Linked DNA regions of Caenorhabditis elegans. The protein of the gene in region 1 interacts with the protein of each later gene in a pairwise test. Each region holds a gene or a part of one and is shown on either strand. Other genes may lie near its edges.

Evidence for each region.
Region 2: the proteins of dhgd-1 (region 1) and mpz-5 interact in a two-hybrid assay, tested with the Caenorhabditis elegans proteins (one large-scale study listed by BioGRID).

What each region holds. Positions count from the first base shown.
Region 1 is NC_003280.10:11,536,415-11,544,031, reverse strand, and holds dhgd-1 (D-2-hydroxyglutarate dehydrogenase, mitochondrial), read left to right. Parts: upstream 1-3,401; coding exon 3,402-3,594; intron 3,595-3,667; coding exon 3,668-4,234; intron 4,235-4,290; coding exon 4,291-4,807; intron 4,808-4,869; coding exon 4,870-5,056; 3' UTR 5,057-5,128; downstream 5,129-7,617. Other genes in the region: F54D5.9 (F-box domain-containing protein), read left to right, coding at 1-584, 638-901, 962-1,221; gtf-2E2 (Transcription initiation factor IIE subunit beta), read left to right, coding at 1,542-1,619, 1,669-1,762, 1,810-1,901, 1,952-2,239, 2,889-3,206; Y62F5A.9 (uncharacterized protein), read left to right, coding at 5,233-5,406, 5,462-5,586.
Region 2 is NC_003282.8:10,370,601-10,377,329, forward strand, and holds mpz-5 (PDZ domain-containing protein), read right to left. Parts: upstream 3,223-6,729; 5' UTR 3,186-3,222; coding exon 3,162-3,185; intron 3,118-3,161; coding exon 3,007-3,117; intron 2,928-3,006; coding exon 2,799-2,927; intron 2,755-2,798; coding exon 2,629-2,754; intron 2,583-2,628; coding exon 2,496-2,582; intron 2,456-2,495; coding exon 2,066-2,455; 3' UTR 2,038-2,065; downstream 1-2,037. Other genes in the region: iars-1 (Isoleucine--tRNA ligase, cytoplasmic), read left to right, coding at 1-260, 314-952, 1,003-1,521, 1,575-1,700, 1,757-1,879; Ankyrin repeat and KH domain-containing protein mask-1, read left to right, coding at 4,346-4,459, 4,510-4,677, 4,724-4,893, 5,270-5,388, 5,726-5,850, 5,906-6,295.

The sequences.
Region 1 (7,617 bases):
CCTGAACATCTGCCGGAATTTGCGTGATCAACTCGGAGGCTCCCTTCATGGTTTTGGAAGACTCCTGGAAACGATAACGCACAATTGGAAGTTCTCTGAACGTCGTATAATGGTAAAAGCTGCAATCATGATCGACGCTGATCTCCGTCCTTCGATTATCAAGGTTCTTACTGCTAAACCGGGCCAGTTGATAGGTCTCGAGATGAAAGTTCGTTCCGGGTTGACCCAACTCTTCCTCAACTTGAGTCAAGACATCGATGAAGCTTCTCCACAGGAGATTATCGAGTTTGGCTCCTGGTTGTCTGTTCTGATCCGAAACGTAATTGAAAAATATCAGGGAAAGTTCTATTACATCCTATTCGGACCAACAAGATCTTCAAGAATTGGCGAACGCGTCGACTGGGCGTATTTCTGTGAGGACGATTCAGATACCTTCACTTTGCGGAAGAGTGAGCCAAACTATAGGAAATTGCTGTCAACGTTGCTCAATGGAATCCGCGCTCTTCGCATCATGAATAATTCCAAGAGTTCGGACCAAATGTGGAGCGGGAAGAAACTTTATCAGCTTTTCCTCCGGATCATTGGTAATATTTTTTTTTTTAATATTTTTAATTTTTAATAGCTTTTTAATTTTCAGAAGTTTGCGAAGTACAAGGCTTTTGGTCTGAGACCTCATCTTCTATGGCGCTGGCCATTGATTCTTCAGGATTGCTCAGCGAATATCTTGTCACCTGTCTCGATCCTCGCCGCGACGACTATGAAACTCTCCAGAATGAAGCCGCGGAGATGGTGTGTCTCGTACGCAACCATCTTTATCGTTGGTCGGCTGCACCTGCCACGTTTCTCGCCGAACCACTGCACCACGCATTCAATCATCTTGCGCAACTCGATGGTCATTACGGTGAGCGGCGTTCTGTCATCTTTTCGGTGCGAGAAATAACGAATATTATTATTATTACAGACGGTTGCTACAAAGCTTTTCTCGAAAAGATTTGGAACGTTCAAAGTTCACGGTTGAAGGAAATGGTAAAGAACGCGACAAACACAACCGAGTGTTCTGAAAAGATCCGCGAAGAGCTCGACGGTCAGCTCTCAATGGCTCGCCTGTTGACGGATATATCAAACACAGTGGTTCTTCACCAAATAGGCTTCCAGCTTCCAAATGACCTAGCTGCTGAACTCGTCAATGATCCACTAGAAGAAGAGGAGCAGCTGGAATAAATCATGTTTTATCTGTCTAGAAAATTTTGAAAATAGCTTCCAACTGTAGAATTAGTTTTGTTTTTGTTTTCTTTTACTTTTACTTTCACTTTAATTTTAATTTTAATTGTTCAAATTTAAAGCTCCTTTCACTCCTTGTTCCATCTTTCTCATTCTGATAAAATCAGCGAAAACTAATTCACTTTATTGTTTACTACAGGGTTCAGCCCCCTGCCACCATTATTTGCCGGCCACTGGCCTTGAAAAACCTCTTCCATCATCGATTTTCACTCTTAAGAGAGTACTCTTCATTGTTTCGAAAGGTTTTCGTTTAAGCAAAAATGGATCCGGAATTGTTAAGGCAGCGAACTGCTTTCCAGAAGCATGCTGCAACAACGATGGCTGTTCAGAATAAGCCTGTGAGAACTTTAAAAATTAAAAAAATATTGAATTTATCGATTTTTTAAGACAACAGCACCAAATTCACACACAACATACTCTTCAGAAGCAGCAAAAGCGAAAAAGAAGAAAAGCTCTGGACCGGCTCAAAATTTGTCGAAACGTTAGTTGTTAAAATGTAATATTAGTTTCTGAAAACGGAATTTTCAGTCCCAGATTTCAATAATTCCGTGAGCAACGCCAATGCGTTATCAAATGCCACAAATTTCAGTACAATGGCGAAAATTGTGGATTATATGAAGGTATTTATATTTTAAAGCGAAATTTTCGAGTTAAAAACAGTTAATTGCAGAAACGCCACCTAAACAATCAACAATGGCCGTTGACACTTCAAGAAATTCTCGATGAACTTCAAATTTTTGATCTTTCAAAAAGAAGTCTTGCTTTCCTTCAAGAAGCATTACCAAACAATCCTCGACTGATAATGGAATCCGAAAAATTCGCATTTCGACCACCTTACAAAATTAAAGGAAAAACTTCGTTGGTAGCTGTCGCGAGGAAACATTATCAGGACGGAAAAGGTGGAATTCTTGTGTCGGATTTGGCTGAGTGTGTGGCTAATTATGATGCACTACTGCAGGTGGGAATTTGAATAATTTATAACAAAAATAAAGTTTTTATTTTTCAAAAATTTCAGCTAAAAATTAGTAAAATTGATTTTAAAATTATCAGCGGCTTATTTTTCGTAGTAATTAAAATTTGAGTTTGTGATGAATTAGATCTTTTAGAATTTCTGAGTATTCAACAATGTGTTTTTTTTTGATTTTCAAATTGAAATAAATTGAAAATTAAATATATAAATTCACAAAAAAGATAAAATGTGTTGAAAATTTATAAAATAAAATTCAGAAATTACTTTATTTTCAGACTTTTGAACAAATTAACGTTATTTTTCAATTTTTACACGAATAATTTTGATCATTTTCGATCCCATAAGTTAAATATTCCACAAAAAAACATTGAAATCGATAAAAAAAAGGTTTGAAAAAATATATTTAATAAAGTAAAAAAAAATTATTACACTTTTCCAGCATAAAACCTTTTTCCTTAAAAAATTTTCAAAGGAAAAACATTTTTGAAGGCAGAATATTCTCATTATAACTTTTCAAAAACTAGGGTATTTAGGGTTAATTTTGATTAAAAATCAGAATTTTTAAATTTGTCAAACTGAAAAAATCAAAGTATAAAAAAGGAGCAATTTTGTGAAATATTAAATTAAATTTTTCCAGCAAGTATCCTCTGAAGTGATCGTTGTTCCGACACAAGTCAATAAGAAAAAGGATCGAGTCGTCTTCTACAATGACAAAGAATTCACATTCCCAGAGCTCGAAGACGATTTCAAAGCCTTGTGGAGACACGTGTCTGTGGATCATTTGGATGAGAAGAAAATCGAAGAATATCTCCAGAAGAAGGGTCTCGACGCGATGAAGGATCTGACGCCGAAGGTTCGAATGCAGGCTCCACTGAAAAGAAAAGCCGCGAAGAGACGGTTCAATCAAAAAGTACAAAACGAGCATATGGACGGAGTTTTGGAGGATTACGAATGATTTTAATTACACACTTCTGTTAACAGTACATAAAATGAACTATGATCATTTGTATCTCTTCTGTCTCTTTTTCTTATCACTGCCCAGCCGTTTGTTTTCTTATTGTTTTCGGCAAATCGGTCACCTAGCCGAGCTTTGTCTCCTACTATTTCTTTTGAAGTTTCAAGTTATTTTTTGAAAAGTTTCTGAATTCAGATGTTTCTGAAAATCTTGCCACGAATCAGAAGACCAACTAGAAGCTACGCAGCAGTTCTTGCCGCCAGACATGAAGGATTTGCAAAAGTGATGCAGTCGGATTTAATGGCATTTGAGAATTTTCTCGGGCAAGATGCAGTGAAGAAGGACGATATTACAAATCATACTACAGATTGGACAGGCCAATTTAAAGGTATTTGTATTTTAAGATTAGGTTTATTTAATATTAAATAGGTACTTTAAATATTAAATGTTTTAATTTCCAGGTCCTGGCAGTGTCGTCCTCTACCCGAAGAGCACCGAAGAGGTTTCTGCAATATTGGCGTATTGCTCCAAGAACAAATTGGCAGTAGTCCCACAAGGAGGGAATACAGGACTCGTTGGTGGATCAATTCCAGTACATGATGAAGTTGTTATATCAATGAATAAAATCAACAAGCAATTCTCTTTCGACGACACAATGGGAATTCTCAAGTGTGATTCTGGTTTTATTCTGGAAGACTTGGACAACAAACTTGCAAAACTCGGATATATGATGCCTTTTGATCTCGGAGCCAAAGGATCCTGTCAGATTGGAGGAAATATTGCCACGTGTGCAGGAGGGATTCGGTTGATTCGATACGGAAGTCTTCACGCACATCTTCTCGGGCTCACGGTGGTTCTTCCCGATGAACATGGAACTGTTCTACATTTGGGATCAAGCATTCGGAAGGACAACACAACTTTGCACACTCCACACCTATTCTTGGGAAGTGAAGGGCAGTTGGGTGTTATCACAAGCGTCACAATGACTGCGGTTCCTAAACCGAAAAGTGTACAAAGTGCGATGCTTGGTAGGTTGAATATTTATATAATGGGTTCAAATTTTTCAATTTCTAATTTTTTTCAGGCATCGAATCCTTCAAAAAATGCTGCGAAGTACTGAAGCTTGCAAAATCCAGCCTCACTGAAATCCTTTCCTCCTTCGAACTTCTCGACGATGCTACGATGGAATGTTTGAAAACGAATCTAGGATTGCACCCAGTACTGAATGCTCCAACCCCATTCTCGATCCTTGTCGAAACATCAGGATCCAATGAAGATCACGATATGGAGAAAATGAGCGCATTTTTGGATGAATGCCTCTCAAAAAATCTGATTATCGACGGAGTGCTCGCTGGATCTTCTGCAGAAGCTACGAAGATGTGGCAATTGAGAGAAAGTGCACCATTGGCGGTTACCAGAGATGGATATGTCTATAAGCATGATGTTTCTTTACCATTGGAAAATTATTATGAATTGACGAATGTGATGAAGGAACGATGTGGTTCTTTGGCTAAAAGAATTGTCACTTATGGACATTTGGGAGATGGAAACACTCATTTAAATATTACATCTGAAAAACACAATGAAGAACTTGAAAAATTGTAAGTTTCGAGATTTTTCTTTTTTATAAAATTTTAATTCTATTAATAATTTCAAATTCCAGGCTCTATCCCTTCCTCTACGAATGGGTTGTCGATCACGGCGGGTCAATTTCAGCTGAACATGGAATCGGTCAACTGAAGCTACCGTACTCCACATTCGGAAAAGATCCTGAAGAACGACTTTTGACAAAGAAGCTCAAGAACATTTTCGACCCAAATGGGATTCTCAATCCGTACAAAACGATATAATTCTAATTCTAATTATTAATAACGCGTGTAACAATACGTTTAGTAGCACAACTGTATAAACATTTGACCCATATATCGTCGGTTCTATTCTCTTTAATTATTTGAGCACCTGTTGAAGGGGAAAATGAATCCTCCAACCCCCAAAGAGCCGGGTCAATTCATCATTCTCCACTAAAATGACGATCCTAATTGTCGCTCTTTTTGCTTCCATTGTAGTATTATGCCACGGAGGTACTGTAGAAACTTCACATCCAGCTTCGGATAAAATTATTGGAAAATATATAGAATTATCAATGAATCTTACGATTCTTCTCGCAGATACTGCTATAGATGAGGCTAAAATTCATCAGGTTTGTGATTTTTTTTTTGAGAGAATTTTTTTAAACCAATGTTCAATTATTCTAGTTATCCAAAGATATGGTGTCAAATGATTACGACGAGGATAAAGTGCAACGAGTTTTGGACAAATTCATGGAAAGTCTTCCGGCAGATCAGAAAAAAGATTTTGGAAGACTTTATTTTGATAAAGTGTTAGTTTTAAGTTTAAGTTTAAAAACAGCAAAAAAAGAGCAGGAGGCTCCAGACCTAGGTGATTTTTCACCCGGTGATAGCGAGTTGTTAGAAGTATCTATCACTGCAGAGAAAAACCACCAAGGTCTCTGGGACCCACTTAAAAATAACTCACCTTGATATCAAATGCACCTGTACCCGCACCTTAGCTGATGTACACCCGGTGATAGGATTTCTGATATCTTATCATCATGGCATACATCCACTGAGGTGCGGACAGGAGGTTCGGAGACACCAGAGCCAAGCTGATTTACACCCGGTGATAATCTCAATGACGAGCTTATTACCAAGACGAAATCAGCTGGGCTCTCGGTATATCAGGAATTCAATAATCAGTAGCTGAATGGTAGAATGTAGGGGAAAACTCCAGAAATCGGAATGAGTCACAGGTCCTACTCCAGTTTTTCTCCCGGTGATAGAGACTTTTGGATGCGTTATCACCACGGAAAAAACCGGAACAGGACCTGGCTCACAGAGAAACCACGAGGACCACTGCAAGTGTTCACCCGGTGATACAGATTAGAGAATGTAGCACCGCAACGGACACCCACACTGGTCCAAGGGTTTCTAGAATCGATTTTAAGATATTTTATCTTTCCGCGTCGGGGACCCATGCGAATTTTCACCCGGTGATAGACACTTTGGATGGTCTAGCACTGAAGCGAAAATTGGCGCGGTTCCCCGACAGCGGTGGAGCAAGTGGAAAAGATCGAGCCACTGCTAGTTTCCACCCGGTGATAGTTCTAATGGAAAGTACCACTGTGGAAGAAACCAGCAATGGCTCGATCTGATCCGAGAATAATAGTTGGGAATGGAAATTAGGAGAGGGGAAGAAGGGAGAAAGTGATGGGAGAAAAGAGAAAATAAAAAAACAACTGATGACTGAATGGACCATTTCCATTCCTTTTATACTGCTGACTTGGTGCACCATTGGGTCTCCGCCCATTTGGTGTAGCGCGTTTGGTGTAGAGCAACGTGTCCACTCGGCGTCTCTTCATTTCACACACTCTCTCGGCTCGTTGCGGTCAAATGGTGTGCAGTGTGCGCTCGCGCGCGCGCGCTCACAGCAACGAACAGACGGACGCGCTCGATAAATGGTGGGCCCGATGGTCAACCGGGCAGGTCTAGGAATCGTAGAAAAGAAAGGGAAGAAAGAGGGGAGAAGAAGAAGGAGAAGGTCTGGGAAACACAGATTAGAGACTGGAGACAGGGGTGAAGGAAATTGGATGCGACGGGATGAACGCTAGGCGCCGGACGGCGGAGTTTTTCGGATTCTCTCGCTTCTTCTCGATGTCTAGAATAGGCGCATGCGGAAAGTAGAAGGCGGACAATCTGTTCCATTTTTTTGGAAGAGAGATAGATAGAAGGAGAAGCGAATAAGATTGAAGACGTGGACGGATGACCTCCCGTGTCGGGAAAAAAACCAGAAATAAAAAAGATGGAGCCAGCCAGCAGTGTAATCCGTTTCAAACGAGTCCGCTTTCATCGTTCCGCCGAAATGAGATTGCACTTGAGTGAGGAGAGAAGTTAATAAAAATAAGAAAAAAAAATTCGATTTTCAACTGTGAATATTCATGAGCACTGCATAACAATGTGCTCCAGCACAGAAACATGACGAATTGATGATTGCTAATAAAAATTTCGATTTGGAGAAACGTTTCTATCGAGAAAACACGTTACAGTAGGAAATTCTGTGCCTGTAAATTTTTATGATTGCGAAAAAGAGGTGTGCGCCTTTAAAGGATTACGGTAATTAAAAATTTTAATTTTCGGTGTTTTTAAAGTTTTTTTTTTTTTCGAAAAAAAAGTAAAAGTGATTAAAAAGACAAAATTTGATAAATTTTTGTTGAATTTAAAAAGGCGCACATACATTTTAAGTAAATTCAAACTTTGTTTCTGGGGAGTAGATTTTTCATAAATTTCGATAAAAATAGATTTATTTTTTTAACTCTAATATAACTGTATAAATATTCAAAAAAAAACCTCTAAAA
Region 2 (6,729 bases), on another chromosome or scaffold:
ACCTGATCTGTAACGGACTCGTATTGGCGTCGGATGGAGCAAAAATGTCAAAGAGTAAGAAGAACTATCCCGATCCAATGCTCATTGTTAACAAGTACGGAGCCGATGCTTTGCGTCTTTATCTCATCAACTCTCCTGTGGTTAGAGGAGAAAATTTGAGATTCAGAGAAGAAGGCGTAAGAGATCTTCTCAAGGATGTGTTCCTTCCATGGTTTAATGCCTACAGATTCTTTGTACAAAACGTACAAGCATATGAACATGTAAGTTTATTCATGTTGAAACAATTATGAGATTGAAATATTATCGTTTTTAGGAAACTGGAAATGTGTTTGACATGAACGTTCATGTTGCCAGTGAAAATGTCATGGATCGGTGGATTGAATCCTTTACAAACAGTCTTGTTGCGTTTGTTCGGAAAGAAATGGATAGTTATCGGCTTTATGCTGTTGTTGGACCGCTTACAAAATTCTTTGACACTCTTACAAATATCTACATCAGATTAAATAGAAAGAGAGTCAAGGGAGACAACGGACTTCATGAGCAACATCACGCTTTGGCAGCCCTCGGACGAGTTCTCATTTTGATTGTTAGATTGATGGCTCCTTTCACACCATTCTTCTGCGAGTATATCTGGCTAAATTTGAAGAAAGTCATTGGTTCGACTGAGGAATCAGTTCACTTCCTGATGCTCCCAAAACCGGATGAGAGTCTAATCGACGAGACTGTGGAAAGACGAGTTGAAGTTATGAGAAATGTTATCGACTTGGTTCGTCTTGTTCGCGATCGTGAAGGACTTGCTGTGAAATATCCATTGAAGGAAATGATTGTTATTAACAGAGACAGTCAGTTTTTGGAAGACGTAAAAAGTTTGGAATCATATATTCTTCTTGAGTTGAACGTCAGAAAATTGACCGTTTCACAAGATAAACAGAAATACGGAATCACCCTAAAGGTATTAAAATTTCAAAAAGTTTGTTCAAAATATAATACTTAAAATTACAGGCAGAGCCAAACTTCAAAATTCTGGGTGCTCGTCTCAAGGGAGAACAAAAGAAGGTTGCTGACTACTTGAAGAACCAAATCACTGAATCTGAGTTGGAGAAATTCCTTCTTGAAGGAAAATTGACTGTGCTTGGGCATGAGCTCTCCTCGGAAGAAGTTGCTGTTAGCTACGCGGCTGGAAGTGATCAAGGACATGGATACAAAACTCACTCGGATGCAAAGACCATTGTAATGATTGATACAACTGAAGATGAGTCTCTTATTGAAGAAGGACTCTGCAGAGAAGTGACAAATCGTGTTCAACGTCTTCGCAAACAGGCTAAACTTGTATCTACTGATACTGCTCATGTTCATATTGTTGTTAGTCCAGCTGATTCTCAACTCGCAAAGGTTGTTGCTGCCAAATTGAATGACATTGTATCCGCTACTGGAACACCTATCAAGTTGGGATCACCACCAGCCGCTGCAAAGGCTCCAACTGCCACCAGCAAGAGTGCAATTAAGGATTCAGAAGTTGAGGTAAATTCCGTTTTTGTTGATGTTCTCTAATATTCCTGAACAATTATTTTCAGCTTTGGTTGTTCGCCGAAGGTGACAGTTTCGATGGGATCACTGTTGTTGATGGATCAAAGAAAGTTCGAGTTCATGTGAAAACAGAAAAAGAACACCTGAAGGGATATGCTGATCTTCTATATCACGTATGTTTATCGGGTTTTCCTAGAAATTTAAAATGTTAAATCTGTTTTTGTTTCAGGTTCGCTCTGCTCTTGATCTCTGGAACGGTAAGATTGCCTTGAAGAATGTCGATGGATCGGCGGTCCATCCAACAGTTGACGTGACGTCTCTTGTTGGTCAGACTCTTCAACTCGTACGATAAATTGCTATTACATCTTTAAATTATCCATATCCGGTTCGCATTTTAGTTCCTGGCTTTATTTGAACCCATTTGAACCGCAGTTTTTCTCATATTTGTTTCTTACACTATTTTGTTTGCTGTTAACGTATAATATTTAATTATGAATGTTTAAGGATTTTAATGTAGAAACTTTATTATCAGAGAAATTCAGCTAGCATTTTTACACGCTCTCAGTTTAGCAGGATCAATGTCACTAACGATCTGATGTTCTGTACGTCCCTCTTTCAATTTGATGTTTTTCTTCTTATCTCCTTTCTTCGGTTGTTGTGGTAGATATCCTTTCCCCAATTTTCTGAACTCCTCTACCGCCTTATCAGCAATTGCCACAACATCATCTGCCAAATCAATGTGATCTCTGAGAATATCTCGAATTGGTGCTTCAATAAGAAGCGTAAAGTGTCCAGAAGAAGCGATGCTGCTCGCAATACAATAACGGAGCATGCTCTTCGAGCAAATTGCCTGAGAATTACACTCCCGAATGACATCTCCAGATTTCAGATGGATGGATGCTAAGCTGTTTGGAGTAACATAATCAACCTGAAAATGAAATGCGGTGGTTACTGTAAGTTTAAATTACCTCCAAACGATCTCTATTGTTATATTTGACAAATAATCCCAAGTCAATGAATTGCATTTCAGGAGTTGGACGAACTTTTATGAGAACCTAAAATAAGAAAGTTTTTTTTTTAATTTTTAAAAAGCTGTCTCACAAAGTAATGGTTAACAGGATTTGGAGTGATTCTCTCTAAATCTCTGTCAATTTGGATTTTCTCAACAGTTGTTCGAATATGAAAACACCAGGAAAACATGTTACGTTTCAGTTGTAGATGAATATTCTGAAATTTTCGTTTGCAAACACTCGATTCAGAAATATTAACACCTCAGTTTTCTCTTTCAACTTTTGGTGCAACTCGTCACTAGTGTGGATAACTTTTTCATCGATTGCAGTGATACAATCACCTAGAAATGCTTTTCCAATAAGATGTGATTCAGGAAGGACATGTGTGATCTGAATATGAATTATGTATGGTGTCCCAAAATCAAGATCAAGAGCTCAAGAATTTGAATAAATACTATTTGACAATTACCCGACAATCCTGCTTGTGTACACGAACTCCTATTGGCTTTCGAATCATGAAATGGTCGATCAATTCCTTTGGCAAAAGCTTGTCAATGTTGAAATCTTTATCAAGAGCCAACTTAATTCATTTATGTTTATTTTGAATCGTTTCAGTTGTCTTACGCTGCCGCTTTCATTTTTCTTCATAATTCGATCGGTTTGTATGAAAACTCAATTGGGAAATGATTTTTTTTTGATTTTCAGGTTTTATAAAACGTTTTCTTAAATCCAAATAATTGGAAACGTGACATTAAATTTAATATTAAAATAACACAATTTTTAAAACTATTCTTCTTTATCACGAATTGTCGATTTCTGTTTTTTACAAACATTTAAACAGAATTCTGTACAGAACTTTTTTTTATTCACAAAACATAAAAACCTTTTTTTTATTTTTTGGGAGCACGCACAGCAAATGCGTCAGCACAAGTTGCTGGCGCAATTCTCGTGCTGACGCTTTTACGAACCCATTATTTTCTTTCGAATTTGCCAACCAGCTTTCCAAGACTCAATTCTTGCATGGTTTTGGGAGGAATATTGAATTTTTCAGTTTCATTTAATTTTTGAAGTTTGCAAAATCATTTTTCATATTACTTCGTTTACATTTCTATTGCTCGTAACTGGATTTCGTTAGGGAAAAGGAGGATGCGTTATGCGCGAGTATTCGGATTATCCTCCATAATTTTTTTCTAGTTTTGATAAAGTTAGTTTTAATATATTTGAGAAAATTGTTTATATCGATTGTTAAGAAATCATTATGTTTAATTCAAAAAGTAACATGCGTTTCGGATCTACGAAGTCATTTATTTTTTTGAATGCTAATTTTAGGATTTTCTAAATTTTCTAGAATGTTATTGCGAACAATAATCAATATGTTCCTTCTTTATCACTATCATCCATCGATTCATCTTCTCACATCCTCCCTAATTCCTTTCCTCCTCATGCCCGTTGCCATGCCGTTGTTCCGATAGTGAAACGAAAAGGGCAGATGGAAGAAGACGTGTATTATGTCTGTCACGCGCCTACAACTTCTCCGAACATCGCCTGTGTCTTACTTTCATGGAAGAAACACAATAAATTGTTTTCCAACATTTTGAAATTATGGGTTATCCTCTTCACCTGCCACATAGGTTTCCGGAAGAAAATTTTTGTTTTGAAAAGTTACCATTAAGATTATTGTTTCAGTTAAAACAATCATTTTTCTTTGTATTTTCCTTTTTGCTTAAAAATTCAGAATTTTCCAATATCAATTATTTTAAAAATTTCAGAAGCGACGAGACCACCGTGTTAGTTTAGCCAAAGGTGGAATGGCTCACCTTAATATGTTCAATCACCTCATTCCATTAGAAATGGATATGGATGGAGCAGACGAAGAAAAACGACAACGAGTTTTTTCATCTTTTTACCACTTTGGTGCTAGGGTGAGCTATTTTTGTTCGACTAAAAAAATTTCAATAAATTTATATTTTAGCTTTACGATTGCCTTCACACAATTGCCATCGAAATCGAAGACGATGACTGTGAGCATTTTCCGACAAAAGCCATCTCAACTGTTCTCAAAATTCTCAATTTTGAGCATTTCCTCTCATCGGACAAGTGTCGATTTCCCCCGGTCTCCAACCTTCTCGATATAATTGAGGTAAATATTTCAATTAGTTTAAAGTCTCGATTTTTATTAATTTCAGAGTCGACAAATGGATGATTGTCAAATCCTTTTTAAAATATCCGACCTTCTTGAAGATCATAAAAGTGAAAAACCTGAAAGATTTGGACCGTACAACCCTTTGGATCCCAAAAAGGTTCCAATCAAAAATGCTGTCGATGCACTTACCTCGGTTTCCTCGATGGCTTACTCGTGAGTTTTCAAATTGAAATTTTTGATTGAATAAGTAATTGGAATTTTTCGAGTATTCACCTTAAATAAATTAGCACTTATACAAAGTACATATCAAAAATTATATACCGAAAAATTGAAAATCAGGAGCGCCATTTTTTTCCATTTTCTATGAAACACGTTGGAATGACATTGCGGAATAGGTTATTTTTTGCAAAGTTTCCGAAAAAGTCGAAAGTTGCAGTCGAAAGTTATGAAAATGAAATTTTTGTTATTATTTTTGAATACAAAATCGCATTTCATGCTCAATTTTCTAGACATTTTGAAAATTATAAATTGATTGACGGAAAAAAGGAACCTGAAAAAATAAAAAAAACATTATAGAATTATTTTTCAGCTTTCTTGCCACTACATTCGCCGAAGAATTAATGAAAGCAGCGATTCGTGATATTTATGTTTTTGACGAAGATTCGCTTGAAGACAACGATGAAACCCAACTCAGCGACGAGAATGGTGGTAAGTTTTGATTAAAAAAACAGCCCGTTATTTCATACTATATTACAAAAATCGTACAAATATTACAAAATCAAGCTTTTATGCTCAAACATTTTTTGATTTCAAAATGCCTTAGGATCTCGTAACGCTTTGAACTTATCCACAAAATAAAAGTAAAACAACATTAACAACATTTTATAATAGACATTGAGTGTTAGTACAGAATAAGAAAATATGCTTAAAAACTGTTTGTTTTAGCTTTATGATGTGACTGACTGAAATGGACGATAACATGGACGGTGATAAATTTCTGGAAAAAAAAATAAAGAAAATAAACAGAAATAATATTAAATTTCAGTATTCGATTCCACACCTTCGAATAACGAGAAAAAAGATTCGATAATCAATTTTCGTCAACTTCCTTCCATTGATAGTCAAATTGTTCAGCAAAATGCAATGCTTCTTCTTGCAGCTCGAGTTGGTGTAAGTCATTTAGAAACGTTTTTCATGAAATTTCAAACTATAATTATTCCTTCAGATTGAACAATTTGTTGAGTATTCTCACGAAATTGGAGTTATGCAGTTTCGTGGTGATAAACTATCAAAAATCACTCCTCTAATGGAAGCGGCTGCAAGTTCCAGTGAAACTATTGTTCGACGACTTCTTGAATTGGGCGCCGATCCGAATGTTGCGTCGATTCCAAACTGTAATACGGCACTTATTTATGCAGCATCAACAGATGGAAGAGATGTTGTACGAGAGATTTTAATGACGGAAGGACCCAAGAAGCCAGATGTTTATCTTATCAATAATCATTATCATGATGCAATGATGGAAGTTGCACTTGTTGGTGGAACGGATACTTTGAAAGAATTCTTGGAAATGGGTTATAGGCCTCGATTTCTTAATCTTCGACAACAAGAACGAGTAAGTTTCCGTATTTCTATCTCAAAAAAAGGTTTAATAAAAAGAAAGTTCCACCGGAAATTTGTATACATTTTCCAGATTATCACAAAAATAATTTGTTTTTTATGGAAAAAAGACATTGTTTTTTTAAATTGTAAGTCTTATAAAACTTATATTGATATCAAACTTTAAAACAGATAAAAATAAAATTCTGAAGGTCTTTTCAACTGTATAATGGATATTCGGGTCGAGTTTTTTCGAATGTCACTCACCTCTCATATATCTCCACATAATAATAAAACAACAAGGAAGAGTTCAAATGCATTCCCAAGAGCATAATTTTTGAGTCAATTGGTTGTAAATATCTCTCTATGGTGATATTTTATAACCACTATATTGGGCAATTTAAACACATTTTTAAAAGTGACAGTCTAATGTTAATATATTCTAAAACT